3 linked regions of the Canis lupus familiaris genome follow. The protein of the gene in region 3 purifies or fractionates together with the protein of the main gene of each other region. This does not show direct contact. Links are inferred from orthologs where the notes say so. Each region holds a gene or a part of one and is shown on either strand. Other genes may lie near its edges.

Region 1 (3,648 bases), on a different chromosome or scaffold from region 3:
CACACAGCAATCTAAAAGAATGAATAATTGATACACTGACAATGGATGAATCTCACAGACATTATGTTGAGTGAAGGAAGCCAGACAAGAGAGATTTCATACTTGTATGATTCCGTTTTATATTAGGTATGACTAAATGATGATAATTGGAATAATCATCTCTGGGGAAAGGTATTGACTGATCATGACCCAATGGTATATTGTAATACTGCATTTCAGGAGCACTGATCTAGGGATTTATTATTCTCTCTTTGAATCCAATAAAGCCTTCAATAGCTTGGTCCTTTCCCAGATCACTTTTACTGGGCTATACTTTGGGCCACACCCCCAACTATTAAAGAAGACCATTTTGGAGAAAACACTGTATGAAAACTGCATCTACATTTTCAGCAAAATTGTTATGGAAAACAATTCATTATGTAACTCAGAGCCTCTTAACTAAAAATGATTTTTCTTACATTTAGTAGTAAAAAGGCTTTGTGTCTTGAGGATGTTATGTTTTTCCATTTGATAAGAAATATAGAAGCTATCACATTTCCTTTCTGTCCTAGTCACCAGGAAACTGAGAACCAAATTTGATGTTTAAACAAACCTAACTCAGATGATTAGCGTATTTGATCTTCTGCCATTCTTATAAGTCCTTTTTATTAATCATATTGTATATTATATAGGCACATATAGGTATATATACACATTCATTGTTGGAAGTTGCTTCATGTTCTTTTCGGACAGAGACAGGATATAAAAAGGCACTGAAAACAAGAAATTAATATGAAAGATTCAAGTAAAAGATTTTGACTAAATCGTAAAGATACAAATTCTAACACAATACCCTAGGTATTTTTGTCCATACATGTGTTCCCACAGGAGAAACAGATGTGAAGCTTTTGTGATTTAAGATACCACCCCCCCAAAAAAGATACCCAAAATCATGGTTTTGAATATTTACAATGTACAGTAACAAGTTTAAGAGCCATTGTTAACAAATCACATGTTTCTGTAACTTCCCTCTGGGTTGAGAAAGCAGCGTGATCCAAGATCCACCTGGGAGGCCTCAGTTTCCTACTCCGTATAATAAAGTATAAGAGATAAGCCCTAAAGCCCTTTCAGTTCTAGCACTGTCTGAGACAAAAGAGCAGTGGCCAAGAGCATATACACTTGAGAGCCAAATAGACATGGGTTAAAACCCTGAGTCCGGGATCCCTGGGCGGCCCAACGGTTTAGCGTCTGCCTTCGGCCCAGGGCATGATCCTGGATCCCGGGATCGAGTCCCACATCAGGCTCCCTGCATGGAACCTGCTTCTCCCTCTGCCTGTGTCTCTGCCTGTGTCTCTGTGCTTCTCATGAATAAATAAATAAAATCTTAAAAAAAAAAAAACAAAAAACACCCTGGGTCCACTGCATATTAGCTACATAATCATGGAAAAGTCACCAAACACTTGAAACCTCACTTGCCCACCTATAAAAATGGGAATAGTAGAACCTATAAATCACAGGGTGGTCATAAAGAACAGATGAAAATATAAAGCACTCAGTGCCTACAGTGTGGTAAAGATTCAATATAATGCATTTATTGTTACTTAGGTGTCACAGGAAGAAAACTCTAGAGGGCACTAATCTTTCAATTATAATTTGGTACCTAATTAACAATATCTTCACCAATTATAGGCTTAGAGTACTATCTGAATTATTTTCCCATGCCTAGGATTTCCAGAGCAAATCGCATATGGAAGGCAAAGGGAACCTACATGGTATTGCCTGATACAAGGTATTTTCAGTCCCAAAGAATCCTAGAGACTAATGGGTTACAGTTGGTAGAGCCCAAATCTCAAATCTAATGGACCAGTGCTCTGTAAATCCATAACCTTGACTACAAAGAGATGTTAAATATGTTCTAGAAGGTAGCATTTCAGTGAAAGTGAATACTTTTAAGTAATTTCATTCAATTCAATAAATATTTTCTGAATACCTTTTCTAAGGTCCTAGGTATAAGAGGAGACCCAGAAATTAAAAAGATAGAAGTTATAATCTAGTGGGAAAGACAGAGTCATTCGTAACTAACTTTAACACAGTAGGTATGCCCTGCCTTGCTAACTTGCTCTTGGTCCTCATAATAAAGTAACCAACTATGCATGCCTACAGATTAATCACCATCATAAAGCTGAATGTGATACTTGTGTGGTGGCCTGCTAAAAGCAGTTTTTGCAACCGTGTGAAATAATTATGTAATTTCAGGACTAAGCAGGTGGAAGTATAAAAAGCTTGGTAAACCCGCGACTCCAGGGTCCCCAAAACTCTAATTCAGGCAAAACAAAAGAAGTGCTGATGAAAGTTACAGGCAAAGTTCAACAGGAGCTCAAAAAGTAGATTTTTAAGCTAAGTCTATGAACATGTACAGAATTTAACAGACTGAGGAAGAGCCTCAGGGAATAATATGAACAAAGGTCCAGAGATAAAGGCAGTTAGGGAACTAGGAATATAAATTGAGTGTGGGAAGTGTAGGAAAGAAGCCTACTAGTGCCTTACAGACAAAAATGAAGCAAAAAAGTCTTGGTTTAGTGATCTCTTGAATTTGGAGCTTCCCTGCATAGAGACAATTACCTGCAGCAGCTCTTTAGCTGAACCTCTCTTCTCCACATCCATCTCAAGACAGCGGTTCAGAAAGTCCCGGAAGAAAGCTGACAGCTTCTCTGGGTTCTGAAGCTCTGGGGTCCCATTGGTGGCAATGAGGTACAAGGCCTGGCAATACAAATGGGAGAATCACCTTAAGCTCTAGCGGGAGTTCTTAAGTGCCTAGACCTGTCCTCTAGAAAGATGGTCAGCTGCTTTATGCCTTTAGGACACAAAGAGTAGCTTTGGTATACTGGAAAGAAAACGACCTAAGGATCAGAGTTAACATTTAAAAGGCCATGTGACCACATGCAAGCCAGTGAACTTCCAAATTCCTCATCTGTAAAATAGGGATGAGAATAGTAACCTATCTTACAGGTCTGTAAAAATAAAACAAGATAGTATTTTGGAAAGCACTTATAAACTTATAAAGTGTGTTCCAGACCCATGGGTTTATTATTATTCTTGATTATAGATCTAAAGGATTTATTATTCACTTATTCACTTAGCCTGGTTAGTTAAACACCTATCTGCCACTTGCTGGAGGAAATTACTCCTGATGTCTTCACCTTAGTCACCTAAGAACTGTTTTCTTCTAATAAGAGAGGAATATAAAAATAAAGTGTTCCATAAAGCAACAATATGTTTCCCTGTTACCTCCCTGTCCCCTAACATGAACAATCTTATGAGACAGGTGATTTTTTTTTAAAAAAGCACTCAGCACTTTAATTCATAAAGTATTTACACAAACACTATCTCATTTAAAGACCACAATAAATATGAATAATAGACCAGGCAAGAATCATCATCCTCATTTCACAGATAAAGTCCAGAAACATGAAGAAATATGCCTGGGACCAAGTTATTCATATGAGCTTATGTCCTCTGATTCTAATGTGATTCCAGTTTTATTTCTATCACACCCTACTGATCATCATCTTCAATAGGCCACTGTAAGATGGGGCAAGATGGTATGTAGAATCAGAGGGCAAAGCTGGGACCTTTGGGCAGTTTCAGTTTGGTACACTGAAGCACTTT
Region 2 (3,648 bases), on a different chromosome or scaffold from region 3:
TGGACGTGGTGACTCCCCTTTGGGAACAGACTACTGATGCCAGGAGACAGAAAACATGGGCAGGGATCCCCAACATGCAGAAGTATCAACTTACATAAGACTCTAGACTCTTAAGATCTCTAGGAAATGACAAGCATGGTATTTCTCCATCTTGGTCTCTTCATTTCCAGAGATCAAAAATAAAAAGACAACTAGAAAGATGGCAACGTAGAACAGACCTTAAAAAAAAAAAAAAAAAAAAAGACACACACACACACACACACACACACACACACACGAACTAAAAAGATGAACACTTGCCCCTCCAAAAACACAAGGCTTCCTCGCCTTCATAACAGGAAGTGGTTCAGCTCTAACCTGGGTCCGAGGGCAGGGGCACACTCACCTAGTGTGTCCTTCAGATTCTTCACGAGGGAGCCTTTCTTCAGGCTGTTCTTCCTCTCCACATAGTTGGACGGCACGTAGCCCGTCCTGTTGGCCGCGTTCCTCACCCGCCACCACGTCTTGGAGTCATCCAGTAGCCATAGGCGCTCGTTTTTCTTGATGTCCAGCTCCTGGTCCTGTTGGGCAGTGTAGTCCCACTTTGCTATCACAATAACTTCCTCTGTCATCTTTCATGGAGTCCTTCTGCCAGCAAAACATTTGGAGATGCTCATTAGAGAACCAACCAAACACTTCATCCTGTGCATCAACTTGAAAAATTATGCATTGACAGCTTTTATTACAACTTGGCAACCGGTTTTCCTCTTGGGTCTTGAAATAACCTCAAAATGACCTTCTTTCAACAAGCTTTAGCATTTTGTTTAGAAACAGCAACCTAGTAAAACAGATCCTCATTTTGTACACTGGGAAATCTGCATGCTGTGCCAAAACCAGAAACAAACTTTCAAAAAAATTCTAAGTAACAATGTCATAATTAAATGTGTTCACTTGATTAAGTAACAGCAGCTCCTTGTAGCTGCTATGTTTGTATCCACCGTCTCAAGATATGCTGAGTTTTATGAACGCATTTAACGAACACACACACCCAAACTGTTCTTCTAAATTAAAACTAAAATAAATCTAGTATCCCGGATCAGCTCCTGAAACAGAAAAAGGAAATTAGCGGAAGCAATGGTGAAATCTGAATAATGGCTAGTTAACAGTAACATATACCAAGGTTCAACTCTTAGTTTTGACAACAGTACCATGGCCGTGTGACACGTTAACACCACAGGTTAAACTGAGTAAAGGAGATATGGGAATGCTCTGTACTATCTTTGCAACTTTTCTATACATATAAAATTACTCTTGAGGGGCGCCTGGATGGTTCAGTCTTGGTTAAGCATCTGCTTTCAGCTCAGGTCATGATCTCAGGGTCCTGGGATCGAGCCCCACATTGGGCTCCCTGCTCAGTGGGGAGTCTGCTTCTCCCTCTCCATCTGCCCCTTTCCCTGCTCCTTCTCTCTCTCTCCCAAATAAATAAAATCTTTAAAAAAAATAAAATAGAATTACTCTTGAATCCTGCACAGTGTTTAAAACAGCTTCATTCACACTTGGAACAATTTGGAAGTGATCAAGATGTTCTTCAGGGGGTGAATGGATAAACTGTGGTATATCCAGGTACTGGAGTATTTATTACTCAGTGATAAAAAGGAAATGAGCTATCAAGCCAGAAAAAGGGATGGAGAAACCTTACTTAAATCCTCTTCCCAGACTAGGCCTCAACACCTGTACTTCCACATTTGTCTCTGCGTGTCCCAATTTTAGCAGGAACCCTGCTGGGCTGGTTTAGCCAGAACCCTCCGCTCTTGCCCAGGCCATGTGCCCAGTCGCCTGGCCTGCCTTCCGGGAGGATCCCGTCAGGTCAGTTTAGTCAGAGTCCCTCCTTTACCCGATGTTCGCTCTCAGTGACTGCATTCATCTGTGGCCTACCTTACTCCTTGGCTATAAACTCCCATTTTTCCTTCTTCTATTTAGAATTGAGCCCAAATGCAACCCCACCGTAGTCACGCCTCTCAGTTAAGTCTGCCTTACCCTTCTTTAAACAATGTCATGAATAATTTTTTTCTTTAACAATGCCAACTATATGACATTCTGCAAAAAGCAAAACTATGGAGACAGTAAAAAGATCAGTGGTTGCCAGGGGCAGGGGAGGAGGGTGGGATGAACAGGTGGAGCATAAGATTTTTAAAGTAGTGAAACTGCTCTGGATGATACTTTAATAGTGGATACACGTCATTACACATTTGTTGAGACCCATAAAATATCAAGAGTGAACCATATATAAAATCATCCCAAAATATCAAGTTTATTAAAACAACAAGAAATAAATATAGTATATTATACATCTAGTTAAGTCAGTTTTTGAAGTAATATATAGCAAAGGCGTATCTGAATGACTAAACTGAATACAGTTATCAACAACGTCAGCAGCTCCATACTTTTTAGGTATAAGATGGCTCAGTATTTTTTCCAGCAGAAAAATTCGATATCCAGTCCTTCAACTGAGTCAGTTTCCTTAAAACTTGAAAGGAAGGGATACTGGAAAGACTCTTGACTAACACCCTCTTTCTTCCTCTCTGACAGAGACGATTTCTCACTACTTTCTAGGGATGACTTCAGGATTATAGAGAGAACCAATGCACGCTGATGCCATGGAGGCATGAATACCATTTTTAAATAACATGACACTTTCTACTAGATGCTAAAGAGACTTATAAATAATACATGTTCTCCTGTTTCTTGAATTAACTTCCAACTGTAGAGATAACAAACCTTTTGGGAAGGAGGAAATATTTAATAAACCTCATGCATAATGTATGCAACATCTAAGAGGACAGAGTTTATACAATGCTCATTTTCAAACTGTAGACCATTTTGTTACATACTATTGGAGATCTCCAGTCCATACTTGTATCTCTCTCTCTCCAGACTTTTCTGTTAGGGTTAAACTTTTCAAAGTCATAAAGGCCATTTTTCTTTTCTTTTTTTAATAATAATGAGAGCAGTAATAGGACTGGGGCTCAGAGAATATTCCATTTGAATACCAGGTTTATTTCTTAATTACAGAGTTTTCAAGACTTTTTAACAAGACCAGCCCATCGCATAAGACCAATCGGAGCAATTTATTACTTTCCTGCGTGACTTAACTGCATGAACAGTTGTTAGGTAAGGAGCTAGCTGGGCAGGGTGTGCTTCAGAGTACATCATGTGGGAACATCATGTGGGAGCTTAAACAAATATGGTGCCTAGGCTCTACCACAGACCAAATATATCACAATCTTAAGGAGTGAGGTCTGAGCAGCAGGTGTTTACAGTTCATCTTTCTGACAGGCCTTAGGAGGGAAAAACCAAGTAAGGGGGATCTGAGTCACAGAATGCCACCTCAGGATGCTTTCCTTGGGTCCTTAGACCTTGGACTATAATGAAAATTTTGAGTGTGTCTTGGGTACCTGAACATGTCAACCTGTTTAATCTCCAGAACATTCACCTTTCAGGGAGGTGTTATCTTTTAGGAAACTGAGGATCACAGAGATTAAGCGACGAGCTGAATGACAGAATCAGGATTTGGGCCCAGATCTGTTGACTCCCAAATCTATGCTTATGTGCCCACTTCTGTGGGTGCCTAGGTGAGGGTCTACTGTGTGATCTATATTTTGATGGGCT
Region 3 (4,159 bases):
TGAGCACTTTTTCAGTATCTCTGTGTCTGAGATTTTCTCATCCGTAAAATGGGTTTAAGTGATGTCAAGATGAAAGGAATTAGTTCAGGCAAAGTGTTTACAACAGTGTCTGGCACTGAAAGGCTCAGTATGTATTAGCTATTGCTGTTATTGTTGTTGTAGCATCAGTATTCATGTTAATAGTATGTGCTGCTTCTGAAACCACACTGTGAACCCTGAGGAGCCTCCGTGTCCTGACTAGACCCAGAGAGGCTTCCGTGTTGTCTGAATGGACTGTTTGCTAAATGTAGGAGGAAGGCAGAGAGGAAGAAGTCAGAGGTAAATGGAATTGCCCCCCCCCGCCCCCGTCTCCTCCCTGCCCTGATGCTTTAATGTAGCCAAATTACATTTGAGTAAAATAAAAGAAGAATTTGGGTCTAAAATCAATTTGCCGGTTCATGGCGTACCAAACGAGCATTAACACTGGATCTGGTATCATTTTGCTCCCAAATGATATAAATTATTTTAGGTGGGCTAAATAACGATGGGCTTAGCTAGACTTCAAAAAGTTGCCTTTTAATTCAGTCTCTTGCAAACGTGTCCCCAGGACACCCCCAGGACACCTTGTGGCCAGCAAGGGGCCCCACAGCACCGGCGGCGGCCGAGAAGGGGAGGCGGGAGCCAGGGGAACAGGAGCAAGCCCCGGCTTCCCGGCCGCGGGGGCGCAATGAAGCGGAACCGCTCCGGCCGCTCCGGCGCTGGTGTCGGTCTCGGGCGCGGGTCTCGGGCGCCGGCTCCTCCAGGCGCCGCGCCCCACCACCGGCTTTCGGGGTTTGCCGCCCGTCCGCCAGCCCCGCGGCGGGTGCTGGGACCCGGAGCCCGCGTGGGCGCTCCCCTCCTGCCCGGCGTAGCACCGCCTCCGGCCCGGGTGCAGGGGCCCGGCGCGCAGGCGGGGGGCGCTGTGGCCTCGGCGCGGGGACAGAGCGGCCGGGCCGGATCCGCCTCTTTCCCCTCCCCGCCCGCCCCCCACGCGTCGTGTCGCCGGGAAGCCGGGAGGAGACAGAGCGCGCTCGGGCTCCACGGCGCTCGGCCCGCAGTCCTCCGGCAGCGCCGAGCCGAGCCAGGTGGCGCCGCCCGAGCCGCGAGCCGCGAGCCCCCGGGCCGCCTTTGTCTGGGAGCGTGAGGCCTGGAAGCGCCGCTCTCGGGGGCCGGGCACGCGCCCGCAGCGGTCGCTGACAGCTCTTCCCTCCCGCGGGGCTCCGGGTCGGAGGGGCGGTCGGGCCGGGCCCTGCTCGCCCGCGCCTGCACGCCCGAGCGCGCGCACCGATGCCCCCGCAGCAGGGGGACCCCGCGTTCCCCGGCCGCTGCGAGGCGCCGCCCGTTCCGCCGCGCCGGGAGCGCGGGGCGCGCGGGGGGCGCGGGCCCGGGGCGCCGGGGGGCCGGGGGCGCGCGGGCGGTGCGGAGGGGCGCGGCGTCAAGTGCGTGCTAGTCGGCGACGGCGCGGTGGGCAAGACCAGCCTGGTGGTGAGCTACACCACCAACGGCTACCCCACCGAGTACATCCCCACCGCCTTCGACAACTTCTCGGGTGAGCGGGGCCGGGGGCCGGGGGCGCGGTGCTGGCGGCCCGGTGCCGGCGGGAGGGAGCGTCGCGCGAGGGTCGCGGGCCCCGATGGGAAGCGGACCGGGCCGTGGGGACCCGGCGAGCGCGGAGCCACCTGCAGGACCGCGGGGCAGCCGGGAGCCCCCGAACCCGAGCCCGGCGGAGGGGGCGGGGTACGGGGACCGAGCCTGTGCGAAAAGAAATGATGCGGCAATTTAATAACAAATAGGTCGAGTTCAGGAAGCCTGGTCAGTTTGCTGCGTAGCAAAGTTGCGTCAGGTCGACGCTGCTGGCGCCGCTGCAGAGTTTCACCGGGAAGGTGACGCGCAGGTGCCATTACCTGTGGCCCTGGGAGTCGGTCCTTTCCTTTCGGCGGCTCCGCTCACAAGGGGCGTCTCCACTTTGAAGAGCCACAGAGACGGCAGGAAAGACTTGATTTAGTGAAAACGGCGCTACGGGCTTAGGTTTGGATTAAACCCTGAGAATAAACGCGATTTCTCCAGCGTGCCTCTCCCCTGCGCCCACTGCTCCGACTTCCATCTCCCCCGTTGGCCCTGTTTCTGATTCTTGATATTTTTTTCAGCGTCTCTTTAAGCTCTTACGTATGGTGTGCTGTGTTTTGGTTTGGTGGAAACAAAGATAAAGGATTTTTTTCAGGTCTTTTTGAAATTTATTAGAAAGGACTAGTAAAGGTAAAGTACGAGTCTCCCACAGAGGCTAATGGAAAGCATTCTCTCTTGCTCTTAAAAGAAAAGAAAAAAAAAAAGCTTCTTGACCTTTTAGAGAGTCCTGATGGCAAGCGCTTCATTTCTTCCATCTCGAAGGTACCCTGGAGAAAACTGCTACACTAATGGGGTTCCACCCAAATGGTTCTGTTTTTCACCCCTTTTCCCTTCCAGCTGACTATTGTAAACATGAAAAGCAATTTAGAAAGTTGTACTGAGACAAACCTGAGTGCTTAAATTCAAGTAGAAACATCCAGGCTGTGCCCTGATGCAAGCCCCTGCCCAGTACCCCATCCTAGTGGAAAGGTGGGCAGGCTTTCTCTTCTTTTCTGTTTTAATCCTCTCTTTGAGCTGACATGGTGAGATAAGCAGTGCCCTCTTCTATAAACAGGACAATGCAGGCAGCCTGTGTTTGCTCATGTTCTCAAAACAAGCTACAATTTTATGATAAACCATGAAGTCTTGGAACTCTTCCCAAGGGAAAACAGAATTATTTGTGAGGTTTTCCACTGAGTTAAAACGGCAAGGTTGGTTCCCATTTACCCCCTAGTGTTGTTTTTAGGTTTTTTGAACCGAGTGTGACAGGAAAATAAATCTTCCGGGGCTGGGCTAAAAGTACAGGTCTTTCTGGGGTGCCATCAAACGGCTAAGGGATTTGCAGCTTCAGCCCTGACAGGGTAGGGAATTGCCAGCCCTGGAGGGTTTGTAGACAAAAATGCCTCCTTGGGGCCTCCTTGTTTTAGGCAAGTCTTTAATTCGTGAGGAAACCCAGAATAACTGAAAGGTTTGGAGGGAGAATGGTAGTTCCCAGCTATAACTTTTTTTTTTTTTCTTCCTGAAACGGGTTAAAAGGCACACTTTGATAATTGTTTTCACTTTACTTTTAAGCTGTGGTGTCTGTGGACGGCCGGCCTGTGAGACTCCAGCTCTGTGACACTGCCGGACAGGTTAGTGGATTGGCTGGGAAGGGACTGGCCATTTAGAGGCCTCAGAATAACTACGCTCTATAACTGGGTCATTCTAAAGCCTCATGAAGTGGCCCCAGCCCTGCCCCTCTCAGGGGGTGGCAGTGAGGTGGGGAGATGGCTCTGCCCTCATAAAACAGGGTTTAGTCCAGCTTTGCATGGACAGGATAGGGAACAAAGGATCAAGAATAGGAATTCTTATGGAGTTTCTGATCTTATTTACTTTCTCGTTTTTATTAAAAAATTATCAGTGATGCTTTGTGATCATTTCTTCAAGTAAGTTGGTGATAGAATCATTTTGTTAGAAGTCAACAAGCCAAATATTAAATTTGCTCAAGAGAAAAATGGAGGTTTTTAAAGAGATTTTATTTATTTTAGAGAGAGAGAGAGAAAGAGCGTGGTGGGGGAGGCAGAGGGAGAGAGAGAGAGAGCTTCAAGCTGACTCCATGCTGTGTGTGGAGTCTGACACAGGGCTCGATCCCACGACCCTGAGATCATGACCTGAGCTGAAACCAAGAACCAGACATGCTCAGCCAACTGTACCATCTGGGGGTCCCCCTGAAAAAGATGGAGTTTGTGTCAGTGGGTGTTAATATTTCCCTCCCTATGCTGTGGTTTCCTCACTAGGGCCACCCCGTCCTTTGAAGCAGAGATACAGTGGCGAAGCTGTCCTGAGCTAGGGCAGTGAATGAACCTGGACTTAGTCTTTCCAAATCGTGAACATTTATTCTTGTCTTGGGGGTCAGGCACTTGGATGAGACACCCAGGGAGTGACGGGGATGGGGGTATTCCTCGACGAGCTCCAGGGACCCTTGGCACAGTGCTCATCACTGAGATCTCCTTGTTCTCTGTGAGAACCCACGGTGCCATCTCTTGAGTTTGTCAAA

Evidence for each region.
Region 1: the proteins of RHOU (region 3) and PAK1 purify together in Homo sapiens (co-immunoprecipitation; 5 studies listed by BioGRID and IntAct, with this or other methods). This does not show direct contact. The link is inferred for Canis lupus familiaris from reciprocal best matches to the Homo sapiens genes RHOU and PAK1.
Region 2: the proteins of RHOU (region 3) and NCK2 purify together in Homo sapiens (co-immunoprecipitation; 3 studies listed by BioGRID and IntAct, with this or other methods). This does not show direct contact. The link is inferred for Canis lupus familiaris from reciprocal best matches to the Homo sapiens genes RHOU and NCK2.

What each region holds. Positions count from the first base shown.
Region 1 is NC_049242.1:21,520,122-21,523,769, reverse strand, and holds part of PAK1 (serine/threonine-protein kinase PAK 1), read right to left. Parts: intron 2,740-3,648; coding exon 2,602-2,739; intron 1-2,601. UniProt on the Homo sapiens protein: Protein kinase involved in intracellular signaling pathways downstream of integrins and receptor-type kinases that plays an important role in cytoskeleton dynamics, in cell adhesion, migration, proliferation, apoptosis, mitosis, and in vesicle-mediated transport processes.
Region 2 is NC_049231.1:38,675,438-38,679,085, forward strand, and holds part of NCK2 (cytoplasmic protein NCK2), read right to left. Parts: intron 628-3,648; 5' UTR 612-627; coding exon 386-611; intron 1-385. UniProt on the Homo sapiens protein: Adapter protein which associates with tyrosine-phosphorylated growth factor receptors or their cellular substrates. Maintains low levels of EIF2S1 phosphorylation by promoting its dephosphorylation by PP1.
Region 3 is NC_049225.1:10,804,819-10,808,977, reverse strand, and holds the start of RHOU (rho-related GTP-binding protein RhoU), read left to right. Parts: upstream 1-1,305; coding exon 1,306-1,567; intron 1,568-3,195; coding exon 3,196-3,254; intron 3,255-4,159. UniProt on the Homo sapiens protein: Binds to and activates protein kinase PAK1. Plays a role in the regulation of cell morphology, cytoskeletal organization and focal adhesion assembly during cell migration. Also stimulates quiescent cells to reenter the cell cycle.